Linked DNA regions of Caenorhabditis elegans. The gene in region 2 interacts genetically with the main gene of each other region. Each region holds a gene or a part of one and is shown on either strand. Other genes may lie near its edges. The genes, in order: ksr-1 and par-5.

Region 1 (8,056 bases), on a different chromosome or scaffold from region 2:
AGTTTTGAATTCAGTTTTTGTACATAATAGTATCTCAAACTTATCAGTAATTCAAAATTCTATCATCAAATATTACTTGCATTTTCAACCAAAAGCCTCAACTATCCAACTTTTAGAAAGCTGACAGCTTATCCCACTCCTCAATGTTTTTGGCAAATTAGTCAGTCTGGTCTTCCAACTATTAACTAATATTCTCACGCTAAGCATTTGTCACATGTGCGTCTCATAAAGTTTTCATTTGACACTTGCGAGAATTGCTTCAGAATGAATAATTGCAAAACCGCAGTGCAAAATTTTTGTTTGCTATTTTTTGAAAGTTCAAAAACTAACCAAATCCCATACTAGATGACTGAATCATTTTGGCACTTGTGACTGAAAGTGAAGGAACGTTAAACTTCGGACTTGGCGTAACAATTGCTGGTGTTGACTGTCCTGACGGCTCGTCAGTGGATCCACTTGATGTGCGACTGTGATACGCTAAAAATAATTGAGATTTAGTTTATGTAGATGAACTGATGTTTGTTTTGAATTGATACCGTATATCATTTACATGAACGTTTGCAAAAACTGAATGATTAAACATCACATGATCTAATTCACTTTTCCTGACAAAATTACATCAATTGTATTAATTGTACATGTTTTAAATAAAATAAAACAATTCCATAAACATTTTGTGAAAAGGTTTCATTCTAAGAACAAATTATTTTCACAACATTTTTTCGAAGTAGATGAACCATAGAGAACATTTGAAAGATGTGCGGTATTTCTATGTCAAATTTGCTGGTTCAATGTGTATCATTACACTACATTTTAAAAATTTTAATTTGAATAAAAGAATAAGGTTGATTTTTTAATTCTCAGGCTGCTTAAAGTATTAATTCTAAAATTAACAAATAAACCGAAAACGACGTTTGAAGGCGGACTCCGATCTGCGGGGGAAGTTTTTCAAAACCATTCCTATGGTACAAAAATAATCAAATATACCATAATAAAATTATTCCAAAAACTTTGGAAAGTTTTTTTTATTTAAAATCAAAAAGCTCAATACTAAATGGTCACCAGTTTTTGCGGAAGTCCTCCATCATAAAATTTTCCATTTTTTATTTCAATTACATTCAAAATATTCAAATTTTAAAATGTATGGGGTTTGAACATTTGACAGTGATTTAAATTTTCAAGAAGTGGAGCAAACTCAGTATAAAATATGCTTCAAAATTGTTTTAATAAAAACCGTCTTGTTTTTTTTTAATTTTGCAGTTACCATCTCGGGATTGATTAAAGTTAAATTTTAAAGTTTGATTAAAAAATGTCAAATTACTGGTTTTGAGACTATAAATTTTTATGAAAATAACTAGAAAAGTAAGGAATTTTGAGAACATTTTCAAAAAATAACAGTTGCAAAATTTTCGTGGCAAGAATTATTTTCTTCTACATTTTACTTAATACAAATTTTCAAATTGCCGCACACTTACCGTTCCAGTGATTTTGTAAAATCACTGTAGATTGAAGCAACTTTCGTTTGGTCTCCACATCAAGACGACCACGATCCGCAAGCGATCGCAACTGAAATAAACTTTTATGTTTGGGTTCAAATGTTCAGAAGGCGGAGCACAGAGAAACTCGGTTAAAAGTAATGAAACGAGCAATAGAAGTTTGATAACATGCAGACAAGAGTGAAAACAACTCGTAGAAATGTAACAGGTGTTGTTGGAACACGAATGACGTTACCGAGTATACGGAGGCAATGCAAAAAAACAAAAACGTGTATGCTTTGGATCGCTAAAAACAATGAATGTTCCAGAAATGCTTCAGCATAGTTGTTCTCACAAAAAACATTCATTCAAAATCAACTCTAATATTTTGGCCAATTATCATATGAAAGGCCACTTGAAGTTTTCAAGTTTTGTTTCGAATTCAAATTTAACAATTGATTTGTTCAATGTTGTTGTAAATTAAATGGTAAAGTTATCTTAAAAAATTTGACAAATCAAGTTTTAAAAAAATCTTCAATGAAAAAAAGGAAATTTTTAAATCTGAAAAATTACCAAACTAGTTGATTTGTCAGATAAAAGTAAGACAAATTTCATTTCGAAAAACACTTCCTGCTGCAAAATGACTAAATGAAAAGTCGAAACTCAAATTCAAACAATTACGAAATGAGATGATAAAAATCAGTCAGATACATGACTTATGCATGTGCTAGCTGAGAGAAAGTTCGTGAGTCTTAAAAAACAACAATGAGCAGAATATCAATAGGTAACAATTAACCTAATCCTCTTTTTCTGTTTACTCTTCTTTTTTTGGATAACAAATTAGCTCACAAAAATCAGGAAAAAAACGGAGAGAGCTGCAGTTTTCTGGCCTCTAGAGAAAGAGAAGAGTGGGAAAGGAAAGGAGAGAAATGCAGAAAGTAGAAGGTGAAAAGAAAGAAAGAAGAGACGGAAACAGAAACGGAAAAACGAGAGGGAAAGAGCGTCAAAGCGCACTCCCAAACACCCCAAACCAATGGGAAGCGTAGAGGGAAATGAAAAGAAGTTTAAGAATAAAACGATAATGTTGAAGGTTGTGACCCGAATCAGCAGAAAGACATTTAGAAGGATATAGATATGCCTAGAACCCGATTTGTGAGTGTTTGTATGTTTCTGTTAGGTGTAAAATCAGGAAATGATGTGTGAGAAAAGAGAGAAAAGGTAGAGCAAAAAAGAGAAGGATCAAACCTCTTGGTTAGTGATGCTGAACAGAGCATTGAAATCGGTGATCGAGCAAATCTCCAAGTGCCGAATGTTTTGTGCGCTGAGCCCGACAAATGTGAACCAAATGGCGTTGATCTCACGCTTCTCGCGATCAATCAAACCAATTTTTGTCATTTGATAAACGGCCGAGAATATTTTGCGCTGTAAATTGAGAATCATTGGAATTTAGTTGACGTCAATGAAAGATTTCAGACCATTTGTTTCAGGTTGTTTCACCTTTTCATCTGTCTCTGATATCTTGATTACTAAAATTCGTAGAAAAAAAGAGTTACATTCACTTAAAGTTTTTAAATCTATTTTTTAAAAGCTTTGATATTTTGATATTTTTTCATATTCAAAATATCATAAACTCACTAAATTTAAAACATTTGAAAATCAACATTTGTTTGAAAGTAAGTTTCAGTTTTTCAAATATAACGATTAGCGTTTCATGCACGAAGTTGTGCATCTAAATTTTTAATTTTTTAAATTTATTATCAAAATACCATTATAGAATTTAATTATACAAATAAACTTTACAGTATAAACGGAAAACGTCTAGAAAAACGTTTAGTACCACAGATTGGTTTACCACAAAGATCTAAAACAATTTGGACTGAGGTGTCAATATATGTATAGTGTATTTTATGAACAAAACTTTAAAGCATCTTAAAAATTTTTTCTGCTGAATGAAGACTAGTCTGTCTTGAATTCATTTATTTACAGTTTATAAAACAACGATGCTCACGAATAGGAGAAGTTTGAATTTTTACAAAAGTTGTTTTTTTTTCAAAAAAACTTACTTCTACACTTTTTGCATCTTCTTCGTATGATGAAGTCAAAAATCGATTGATAGTGGTAAGTTTCAAACATTCTGCAACTTCGAATTGTTTTTTTTTAAATTTTTTTTACTAACCCTTCAAATTATTTATAGCCTGTGTCTTTATATCCTGTGCGATTCCTGCACCAAACTGCGGTAGATTACTGTATCCCGCACGTGATGCAACTTGGGTTTGCATCATTCTGTGTATTGATATTATTGGTTAGTTTTTACCTTCTCCGGATCTTTTCCCTGAAATAAATCTTTCGTTGGTTGAGCACAACGTTCAAAAGGTTGCCAAGAAAAAACAGTGCTGGTTTTTGGTCAACTTTTGGAAATCCCCGGTGCAAACGGAGCACGCTGTGAGCTCACACGTGCGCCACACTCTTTTTTGCTTGGTTTCTCATTTTGTGTATGTGTGTGTGTCGTCGCAATTATCAAATGGCTCCCTGTGAGCTCATCCTTCGTTTATGTATGTGTGGTAGTGGGAGCAGGGCAATACGAATGTATTTGGTGCTTTAGAAAGGCGTTAAATGACTAGAAAAGCAAACGAGCAAGTAATATTGAAAAGTGCCGAGTTTTTTCTGTTAGTATGGTTTGCATTCGTACTGTAAGGGAGCAAGACAATTAGAGAAAATATGTGTATGCCCCACAGTACAGTCAGAAATTTCAATTCATGAGTTAGTAAAATCTACAATATTTTCTTCCTACAAATTCCATCACAATTGGATGTTTACAATTCAAAGTCAAATTGCGATGACCAATATAAGTATGCTTACAGTTTGTTTACTATTACAACATCATCTACTCAAAAAAGGTGTGTATTAACCTTCTAGAAAAGTCGAAATCGTCCGGAAAGTAAATTAAAAGCTTTCGGCGGCTTTCTGCCATCGAAATTGTGAAGGTTGCGTGGCGAACAATTATGAGACAGGTTATGTACATTACTCAATTTAGAAGTGACGAGAAGAAAAGAAGAATTGGTATTTTCGACCACATTTTCTTTTCCGGTGGTTAGATTAGACTTATTACATCACAATGTCCCGATTTTTTTCAATGGCATTCTACTTTTATTTTGGCTTCTTTTGTTTCTTTAATTAGAATACTGTTCCAAATCCAATAATTGTACTCTACCAATATTAAATGTGTTTTTTTATTGAGTAGAAATATTCAACTATTTCACTTAAAAAATCGATTATCCTTTATCATCACTCCTAAGTAATTATAGTTTATCAATTTGAGTTTTACATTTTCCTAGCTTTGCGTATTAAAACTACCACAAATACAAAAATTAGGAAGCTTAACTTTTCTTTCTTTTTTAATTTTTCGCTTTCACATGAAATACCGAACAACAGTATGGCGCTTAAAAATTAAGCAATGCCGACCGAAAAGAGTAGTTGTGAGAAAAAATTGCCATAAGGCTTTGGTCGGAAGTTAAAAGAAACGTTGCATTCAAATACTGTTCAATATATTGGAGAAAATAATGCTAGAATGCTGAGAGTTGTGGAAAGAGAAAGAGGAAGAAAGATCGGCGTGCAAGCAAACAAACTGTTTGAACGTGATGAAGAGAAAAGGGGAGAACGGTGTGGATTGACAGTAGGAATAGTAGGAAAGGACGCAAAAATGTCGGGAAGACGGGAGGATGGGGGGAATAGTGTATGAATAAGAGAGAGAGGAGACTGTATGTCTATGGGGTGAGAGAAAATGGTCCGCAATGAGAAGACCACAACAGGTGTTCAAAATGTTGCGTAATCAACTTAAGAGTAGGTCAAGATTCATACCAGGAATGCATTGAACAAGCTTTTAGTTCCTGGTTTGCTGGCAGATCACAACTAATTTAGTGTAACATCTCGGCAAAGTCAACATTAAAAATGTTGTTCCTGCTCGATGAAAATTTTGAAAGTAATTATGGGTAGTTTGTTGAACGTGCCAAAAACTATGGTAAAGTTAGCCAAAAATTAGGGTAAAATATAAGTACTGAAGTAATAGCAATTACGTTTTAAAAGACGACTAATGGACCAAAATGTTTAGACTGTGTTTTAAAAAGAGACTTCTCAAAAAATGCTGTTTAAAATGAAAACCGATTGTATTTAGCAGAAAAATTTAAAGTTTACAAATTTATACGCGTCGCAGCGGACAACAAACATTTTTTGTTGAACTATCACTATTCATTGATTTTAGTCCTTTATTACAAATTTTATGATAAAAGACGTGAATTTGGATGTGCATTGACAGGCAACCAATTTCGGTTTTTCGAATGGACATTTACTAAAATTCTCCTGTTTTCTCTATTAGTATTGTCTCAGTCTGTTTACATTTGGAAACCCATAGCTTGTTTATTTTTTAATTTTATGGAAAATTGTTATCAAACAAAAATGTACAGTATCTTTATCTACATACTTTTAATTGTCCATTTTCGGAAAACTAGAAATCGATTCAAGACATAACTTGTCAAAATAAAGTAATTGAGCGGAACACTAATAGAAAAAAAGAAAACACAAAATATACAACTAATATATGCAATAAAGAGTGAAAATTAGGTTAAACTGATTTTGAGCCCCTGTAACACATAAGAATGACATAACAAGATATGATGTAGATTTTGACTTTTCTCTTCAAAATTTTGAACTACCATAGATCCTTCTTGTTAGGAAAATATGATCATATTTTCTTTTAAAGTTTCAAAAAACGTTGTGAATTTCTGCTTTCAAAATACTACTTGAAAATTAAAATAGCTTTAACATAATTGAACACTTTCTATTAATGAATAAATAAGCTTTCGTCCTCCGGAATTCCGCTGTGAAAAAATGTGTCCAATTCTAAAAAATATGAACTCATGAGTTCCTTATTATTATTTTTGCATGATTTCCTCATGACACAGTCGCGATAACTAACCAAATTGAATTGCGATCTCAAATCAGAACATTGAGCGAACAAAAGGTGGAAAGCCTAAGAGAATGCATTCCTATTTCGTTGGCTCCAGTTTCAGAAATCCATGCCATTTTGGCCGGAAACGTGCACTCAAAGTGGTTGCCGCTACCAGAAGTCTATTGTGTGCGTGTATTGTGTACATTTTATATGAGAATGTGATATTGAGCTTTAATGAAACATTGAACTCATTTTGAATTTGAATGTTGAATTGAGTATTTTGTAAGAGAGCAATTTGGTCATTTCATATTCTGAATAACAAAAAAATGCGGGAGGTTGCTTACAGGCTGAGATCAGAATCCCAAATAATAAGGAAAGTTGATACTTTAATATTTTATTCATATAAGGGCATTAAGCAATGTTCAGTTGTTTTTTACTGCATTTGTAAAAGCAAAAAAAGACAAAAATGGGATATGCAAAAATAAACTGAAAATAAGAATTCTGAAAAATTGTTCTGAAAACTGCAAATGGAAAATTATTCTGAAGCTTTACATTATTCTGAAGCTTTGTTGTGTTTGAACATTATTGTAAAATTGGAATTTTGGGCGTTACAAGGTTTGAAAACATTCTGGGGAAACGAAACCCATAAGTAACCAATTTTTGCAAAACGATGAGATTAGACATAAATAAACATTAAGCTGGAAACATTACTAACCGTTGATTTAAAAAATTAGGAAAATGTTCTTAATTTGTTATTATTAAAAATGAAGATAATACGTGTGATCTGGATAAAACCAGGCTGAACGAAAAACATACACATTTTTAACGAATGTATATTTTACAAACTTAAATTTGGAGATTTATGAAAATAGTTTATATAGAACTTCTAAAAATTTAGTCCACTCATATGCTTGCCTCATCATGCACTTTGCCAACTTCATAATCCAAGAAGCCCAACTAGTCTAGATTTAGATCAGAACATGTATTTATCTGAAAGCATGTAAGTATTGCCAGGTGCATAGCTTCTCAAAAATTTGGAAAGATCCAAAATCCCCACTGTTATTATATGTCTTCAAATGTTTTTCAGTCTGTCGCGCACCCCGCTAAAACGCTCATGACATCAAAAAGTGATCATCCCTTCGGATTTAGTTCAAGATTCTTTTCATGATCTGACCCTAATCACTTTTGTTGCGACAACTCGAGCTGTTTTTCCAAAACCACCAGGAACATGCAGATTAAGGCGATTATTCGGGATTTAAACAAGATGGAAAGAAAATTGAAAATCTTGAGAACCTAGAAGGTCAACGTCTCTCCTACCTCCATCCCTCTCATTTCCTAAGGTGAAACAGAAAAGAGAGAAGACGTTGCTAAGCCCTTCCTTCTCTGATCGCTTACCGTCTGTCGTCGTAAACGCTCTCGGAGAAAAGACCGCGTCTTCTATCCTTCTATGTCCTCTTTCTCTTTTTATTCTCGGCGTGAAGACTGGCTCGCCTAACCTATATTACTGTAATTATACCTCCTACCTCACCATTTTGCATTCTTTGCCTTTCTTTCTCTTGCTTCCTGTACACATTTCTTTTTATTTAGACGCAACATCAAGTAGGAGTCCCTAGGTACCAAAGAGATCAGAATATGT
Region 2 (8,056 bases):
GTTCTAAAATTATATTTTTTCGAAATTTTTTTATTCGCAAAATTAAATTTTTGAATTGCCACTAGGGCTCACAGTGGTGAAGGTACACTCAAAACTTAGCAAATGACACTGTTTTTTTAGATGTCTTTTTTTAGATTTTCTAATGAAAACCATTTAGTGAAAAAGTTAGTTATCTATTCAGTTGAGGAATTAATAACTCAAAGTGATTCTGGGATGTATATACAATACTGCTGCATTTCTCACAACTTTATCTCGACCACCAATTTTTTTTGATGAAAAACCATCAACTAAAAAGTTGTACTTCAGATTAAAATAATCAACTTTGTAGTTGACAACTTTGCCATAAAATTTTTTCCACGGAGATGTAAGCATCCAAAGTGAACTCGATTTTGGAACATGTTCAACTATACCTCAGGTTTTTGACTGAAATTGTGTTCTGAACATCCAAAGTTTTTTTCAGAAAATTTAAATTTCCCGCCAAAATGTTTTTTATTCAGAAAATTTAAGTTTCCCGCCAAAAAAGTATTCTTCAGAAAAGTTGAATTTCCCGCCAAAATGTTTTTTAGAAAATTTGAATTTCCCGCTAAAATGACTTTTTCAGAAAATTTAAACTTCCCGCCAAAATTATTCTCAGGAAATTTGAATTTTTCGCCAGAAGGTCTCACCACGATGTGTCTACAGTATAAAATCTACAGTAATCCTACAGTACTCCTACAGTACCTCTACAGTACCTCTACAGTACTACTACAGCACCCCGACCATGTCACTCCATTAACCCTAAACCAATATCCCTTTACCAACCGTGGACCGCACCTCCGGCGCGGCCCCCGACTTCTGGAGCTGAAAAGTAATTTTTCTGAAACTACCGTAATCATACAGTACTCCTACCGTATCACTATTGTAATACTACAGTACTCCGATTATATCTGTACACTAACCCCAACTCACAATCCCTCCAGAAGCTAAAACTTCGCAGACTATAAAGACTACATACAAACTATGAACAAACGGAATAAGCGCTTTGTATATATAGTAAATGATAATCCAAAACTTTGCACACTACAAAGCCTGCATACACTACAAACTCCGGAGTCCGGACAGACTAACTGTATTTTTTTAAAATATAAGCAATAATGATGCTGAGCATCAAAGGGATTGAGCCATCGTTAGGGATTGAGCGTTCAAGTGAAGGAGCACGCTAGTAAATGAGGGTTTGCCCCGAACCGACGCCACCCACCGAAGAAGACGACCTGGACTTCAAGTCCTCTCCACCCTCATTACCACCATCACTCGCTCCTACTTCAAAAAATGAATGCGTTTCAGCATATTCCCTTGTTTTCTCAAGAAAAAATCATAAGAAACATGTTTTTTCACTGCGAAAAAAAATTGAATATCCAGAAAAATTTCAATTATCAGCCTCTTCTCCTTCTTTTCCGTCGACACGCTGCTCGTGAGTACTCTTCAATAGATCGTAAAGTGTACGAGCACGTTTCAAGTTCGAGATATCGTACGAATCCAGTGAGCTCTTCATCTTCTCCAATTCGCGATGAGCACTATCAAGAGCACTCTGTGCAATTTCGTTGGCTTCTTTGGGAAGATTCAGGACATCGAAGTTTAAGGCGCTTGCATTGAGGGCAAGTCCAAGGCGAATTGGGTGAGTTGGCTGCATCTTGTCCTTAGCGATACCAAGAGCCTCCTGAAAGTCATTTCATTTACATCAAGAATTTAGTTATTCAAATACCTGATAAGCGATTCGCGACTTGTGTGCATGCTCTTCTCTGTTGATATCGTCGTATTGGACCAGATACCTAAAATGGTCGGCGACCATGCCACCGAAGAGAGCCTTAGTTTCATCATTTAGCGCATAGTCTCAAGCCAAACAGGCGGGGCAGTTCAAAAATAGTTTGATATATAGTTTGATATAGTTTGATGAATAGTGGCGTGGAGTACGGTTTCGCGGCAATTCAAATACTACTATTCTTGAGACCAGACGAATCGGACGATTAACGGCGGCGAGGGATTCGGATCGGGGGAACCCAATCTGTGGGACGGGCCACGCCCACGATCAAATTTTGCAACCTCCGCACGGTTCTATGGGCGTGGCCAATCCCCCGATGTCAACAAATTTTAAAAAAAACCTTCCCCGATTTTATAAATATTTCAGCTTGAAATCGCGATGTTCATTTGCGAACTCGAGGCATTTTCGAAACGTTAAATGTTCCCGCGCAATAATGCTCCGCTGAACAGTGCACGCTTTTTGTGTAGATTCATTTAAATATTCATTTTCCGTCAGATTTCATGTAGAAACCCAAAGATTCGCTCATTTCGCTGCTCGATCTTTTCTTTTTCTTCATTCAACCGTATATTATATGCATTTTTCGTTTAAACGTTTTTCAAAAATTTTTAAAAATTGCTTACAATCTTCTTTGTAAAAAGAATATATTTTGCAACCAATTTTTTCGATTCTCCATGGAAAACTTATCAATTTAAACTGCATTCACTGTTACACTGATAATGCTTTGAACGACGGCGGTCGGAGAACTTCCAACCGATTACTGTTCTCCAATTTCATGTTTCTAGAAAAAAAGAAATTTCTGTCGTTTCATAACATGTTTTAACACGCAGAGCCTTTTTTTTTCGAATGAACCGCCATTTTCTTTAAAGGCGCAAGCTATTCCCTCTGCGCGATATTTCGCCGCGAAAAAAGAAGCCCCGCGAAAAAACGTATTCGAACCGCGGAATTTCCGCGAATTTGTTGCTGGTTTCTTCTAGAATTCAACGATTCAATGCTCATTTCATCACAATTTTTTTTTGTAAAATTATCCTTCTCGCTTTTATGCTCCTCTTGCCCTCAATTTTCTGTCTAAAAGCTATCATTTCCTCTGATTTCTTCCTCGATTTTCAAATGTTGGCCCAAAATAGTGATTTTTTCTTTAATTATATCCTAATCCCCACCAACACGATTTAGCAATTCTCGAAAATTATTTTTTTGCGTTGTTCAGGTAAAAGTCCTGACGAAACCTCCTGAGTTTTGTGTAACGTGCTCACCGAAAGATTAGTGTGCTTGCTGCGCCCGTTGTCACCACTGCCATTCATCCTTCTATTCCCGTGTTTTCTTATCAAATGCCCAAAAAATCTGAAATTTTTTGTGTAGACAATGCTATATATGAGGAGCGAATGTGTGCGCCAGAGAAAAAGACGGACAGACACAAATTGAGTGAGTGTGCGTTGCCCACTTTAGTTGTTGTCATGCGACGGCGGCGGCACGCGCTCTCTCATCGGCCGGCACTGCTGTCCATCGATTTTTCTTCTTTCAAACGTCGTGCGGGCTGTTTCGAATGTTCTAGGGCTCTCCGTTTCGATTATTACTCTCGCCTATGTTCTTCTCTTTTCGTTCTCAATATTTCATTATAAATTTTGTTTCAGAAGACTTGCTCACTGAAAAAATGTCCGATACCGTGGAAGAGCTCGTTCAACGCGCCAAGCTTGCCGAACAAGCCGAGCGATACGATGATATGGCTGCCGCCATGAAGAAAGTAAGATAAAACATCATTTACGGAGGTTTCAAATTTACTATTTTTCAGGTGACCGAGCAGGGACAGGAGCTTTCCAACGAAGAGCGTAACCTTCTCTCTGTTGCCTACAAAAACGTCGTCGGAGCTCGCCGTTCATCGTGGAGAGTTATCTCTTCCATTGAGCAAAAGACCGAGGGATCCGAGAAGAAGCAACAACTCGCCAAGGAATACCGCGTCAAGGTAACTACACCAAGCAAGATTTTATTAATTTCAAGAATTTTAGTAACTTATTTACATTATTTCAGGTTGAGCAAGAACTCAACGACATCTGCCAAGATGTGCTCAAGCTCCTCGACGAGTTCCTCATTGTCAAGGCTGGAGCTGCTGAGTCGAAGGTCTTCTATCTCAAGATGAAAGGAGATTACTACAGATACCTCGCCGAGGTCGCTTCAGAGGATCGCGCTGCCGTTGTTGAGAAGTCCCAGAAGGCTTACCAGGTATTTGAAAATAACTAAATTCTTGATGTAAATGGCATGACTTTCAGGAGGCTCTTGATATCGCTAAGGACAAGATGCAGCCAACCCACCCAATTCGCCTTGGACTTGCCCTCAACTTCTCTGTCTTCTACTACGAGATCTTGAACACTCCAGAGCACGCTTGCCAACTCGCGAAACAGGCTTTCGATGATGCTATTGCTGAGCTCGACACGTTGAACGAGGATTCGTACAAGGACTCGACCTTGATCATGCAACTTCTACGTGACAATCTCACTCTCTGGACATCTGACGTTGGAGCTGAAGATCAAGAGCAGGAGGGAAACCAGGAAGCTGGAAACTAAGTACGATTTCAAAATGTTTTATTGCCATTATATAAAGCTGACCTTTTTCCTCTTTTCCTTTCACATCAAATCTTGCTTCGAAAAAATAGTTTCGGTTTTCAGAGAGCTGAACTCCGTTCTCTTTCCTCGCATCTCTTCAACTTTCAGTTATCCTCCAACATTTCCGGTACGTTAGCCGAGAGAGTTGCCTAATCACCGTTTTTGTTTTAGACTTAACGTATTCACCAATACTCCATACAACACTGCGCAATAGCATCATGAAAGAAAATTCGGTCTTCAAGTGCTCTAGATCTCCAAGCCATAATTCTCTTCATGCTCTATTTCGCTGTAATTCACTCCGTCACTATTGTCATTCCTAAAATGGCGTATTGTTCTATGATTATTATGTGCTGTAAAGTATAATGAACCCCCATCTTCCATTTTTCTCTTATTATCCCCGATCTTTATTTTTAGATCTTTTTGAACATAAATGTTTGGTGAACTTTTCCGGTTGTCCGAATTTCATCACAACTTTCCAGGAGTTTTTCGAGTAATGGAATGGAATTTATTTTCAGATTTCGATGAAGGAGCATAAATAGGATAAAACATTTGCATTAACCTCTTAGAAGGTCTCAACACGAAAAATTAAATGAAATGTGAAAAAGTGTGCGCCTTTAAGCTGCCGAAAATTTTTTGATAGTTTCTTCCACGATTCGTTAAAAATTAAGTGTTTTATGGTAACATTTGAGTGTTCTTTTGAAAATAAATATATTCTTTGTCGAAAAACTATGAAACATCGATAAAAATTCCGCAGCAATAGAAGTTTAAAATTACAGTACTCTTTAAAGACTCACACCTTTTTGCGTTCAACAAATATTAGACGTGTCGAGACTAAGTACCGTACTTTTGGCGCAAAAAGCTCAAAATTTCGCTCCTGGGCAATATAATTTTCGGAAAAAAACTTAATTCTGGAGACTTCATGTGTTTTCACAGATCATGACGAGACCGATTGAGAAACATTTGGAAATACATTTTTCTTCAATATATCTTCAAAGTGGCCGATTGTATGTGATCATACGGAATAACGATGGATGTGTTTTGTGCTTTTCGGCAGATTTCGAGCTTTTGAGCCAACAATTTTCAGCGTTGTGGATGAAAAAACATGTCACGTTGTTTAATCAATTTAAAATCTTTAAAATGTAATGACTATTTTTATGGACTGCGCAGTTGCCCCATGTTGAAAAAAGATGTCAATTGCAATTACATTTTATTTTCCGTATAAGTTAAATTCAATAACCCAAAGTTCAAAAAAGTACTATTTATGAGTATTATCACGTGGTGTCAGAATGTCCCATGTCGGTTTGAACTTCGAAATATGCGGGAGTTGAGACGTAGACTGACGTCACATTTTTCTGAGAAAAAGTTATCCGCATTTTTGTAGATCATACCGTTATGGGGCAACCTGACACCACGTGTCTTATTCGAGATCCATATTTGAGTGAACACCCGGATAAGCTGGTAATCGTCTTTTCTTTTCAATTATGTGAACACTGATATGAATAATTTATTAAATAATTAATTGATTGAAGTTTCGCAGGGAAGCTGAGGCTTGCTGAGCTCTAATTCAGCGTTCAACACAAAGTCGGCTGGTTCTGAACGAGCTAGGAGAACATAGACTGTGTTGGCTACTGTAAGTGTTAAAGCATGGATCAGGAAGTAGCTGGTCCATGAGAGTTCAGCTGAAAGTGTTGAAAAAGGTTTAGTTTAGAAAGAGAATGAATTGATACTTACAATCTTCACTTCCCGGAAGCACAAGAAGAGAAAAAAGAACAGGTTCGAGCAGTGTTGCTAACGATTTGAACAATTGAATATACCCGATGACAAAGTAAGAGAATTGTCTGAAAATGTTCATTCTTGAAATTTCAAATTAATTTTTAAATCGCCTTACCTTGATATCAAAGCGGCGCCCTTATAGAATCCTCCACAATTGAACCCGAATGAAGCCTGATAGAAAGTGATGCAGATGACGTGTAGATATGGATGCTCGCGTGGCAGCAAGACTACGAGCATGAGAAAAAACGCGGGTACTTGCAATGAGATCGTGTTGAATAACCGCAACTTTGACTTTTCCGGCAGTGTACGAATACGATCGGACGCGATACCGGCGAATACTCGAACACCGATGAATAGATAACCTTTCATGGAATTCAGCCATGCATTAGCCTGGAAATTCACAAAATTGAGGGCAAATATCGGTGCAATATCGGTCTTTATTGCAATTTCGTGAAATTTTGACATGGCACTTTAAAGGCACACGCTGTTTTTCTCAGTGGGTCTCGCCACGCTCTCAACCATTGTAGTCGCTACAGGTACCAAATGTCATAGAATTGTTCATTGGATGTGGAAAATTAAGTTTGCCCCGACGTGCCTGAACACAAATTTACCTGAATATCCATTCCGAGGTATTGATAGTATTGTGCACCATATACAAGAAATACAAAACTGGCAAAAATATCGGCGAACCCGGCAACCCACACGGCCCAAACTGACTTGTCGGTGAGAACTTCTCGATACGGAGTCTTTTTTGTCTTATCTCTCTTGGTTCCTCCACCAATGTGTTGAAGCTCGTGATGTGTCATTAGGCAATGATCTTCCGGATCGTCACGATAGAACAAGAACCAGATGATTGTTGAGATGAAGAGAATTATTGAGAGAATATAATAGATAGGTCGCCAGCCAACATTTGATGTTGTCTGAAATATTATGAATTTTAAATATACCGTCTCAGTGCAATAACCTACCCATCCTGCCAGTGGCAACTGAATTACAGCTCTTGCCGCAGTGAATCCACTCAACGCAGCCAGTGACATTCCTACTTCTTTGATAGGCGACCACTTTGAGCACACGTATCCGACAACTCCAAAGTCAGCAGAGTAGAGGATTCCTTGGAATATCCTGAATACAAGTGCTACATGGTAGTTCGTGTCAAGAGCCCATGGCATGAAGGCAGTGACGACGGCACAGAGCAAACTGGCAAATGTGAGGACAAGACGGGGTCCATATTTTTGCATTAGCACATTCTGAGGATACATTCCAATGAGTGAACCAATTGCCATCGCTGAGATCAGACTGGACTTCTCTTCTAATGTGTAGATGTAGATCTGAAAATTTATTGTTGATGCTAAGGTTCAAAAATGTTACGCCTGAGTTTTATGGGCTAGAAGACCTGATTTAATGTCTAAGAACCAGAGTTATGCGGACCATTTTTGAGTGAAACTTTTCATGTAAATTTAGAAAAACACTGATGAATAATTTGACAAATTTCAAGACTAAATGTAAGTTTCTCTAAAATTCTCCAAAAGTTGCTATACGGCAAGGCACATTTCGATCAGCATATTGCGACGTTGACACAGATTTTGAATAACTTGTAAAGTGTACTACTACGTTTATATAGGGCTTCCATGGCTTGCCTCAAGCCGGCATGAAGAAAAAGTTAAGATGTGTTCTAGTAGAAGACATGGGTAAAGGCGGTAAGCAGTCGGAGGTCGCCTTAACGTCCGTCAGGAAGGCGTTTTGGCGCCTACATGGAAGCCCTGCGTTTTTAAACCAAAGTTCACCTAAAAACATCGTCTTTAAATTGTTCGAAAAAAATACTCCGCGCGGATTTTCTAGAACGTAAAAGTATAGAACTTTAATCTCAGAGCAACTGTTGCAAGACTTGACC

Evidence for each region.
Region 1: of par-5 (region 2) and ksr-1, changing one enhances a phenotype caused by changing the other (phenotypic enhancement), as found in Caenorhabditis elegans (one large-scale study listed by BioGRID).

Annotation. Positions count from the first base shown.
Region 1 is NC_003284.9:8,270,920-8,278,975, reverse strand, and holds the start of ksr-1 (Kinase suppressor of Ras A), read right to left. Parts: upstream 3,808-8,056; 5' UTR 3,758-3,807; coding exon 3,652-3,757; intron 3,610-3,651; coding exon 3,539-3,609; intron 2,898-3,538; coding exon 2,721-2,897; intron 1,567-2,720; coding exon 1,476-1,566; intron 478-1,475; coding exon 331-477; intron 1-330. Other genes in the region: cutl-29 (ZP domain-containing protein), read left to right, coding at 8,053-8,056. UniProt on the Caenorhabditis elegans protein: Serine/threonine-protein kinase which positively regulates Ras-mediated signaling probably acting at the level of let-60/ras or/and lin-45/raf. Involved in sex myoblast migration.
Region 2 is NC_003282.8:11,817,288-11,825,343, reverse strand, and holds par-5 (14-3-3-like protein 1), read left to right. Parts: upstream 1-3,426; 5' UTR 3,427-3,446; coding exon 3,447-3,536; intron 3,537-3,584; coding exon 3,585-3,755; intron 3,756-3,820; coding exon 3,821-4,012; intron 4,013-4,059; coding exon 4,060-4,353; intron 4,354-4,455; 3' UTR 4,456-4,519; intron 4,520-4,563; 3' UTR 4,564-4,838; downstream 4,839-8,056. Other genes in the region: M117.3 (14-3-3 domain-containing protein), read right to left, coding at 1,406-1,696, 1,742-1,828; M117.1 (Major facilitator superfamily (MFS) profile domain-containing protein), read right to left, coding at 5,908-6,071, 6,124-6,230, 6,281-6,555, 6,777-7,085, 7,134-7,493. UniProt on the Caenorhabditis elegans protein: Required to modulate lifespan, in concert with hcf-1, acting redundantly with 14-3-3-like protein ftt-2.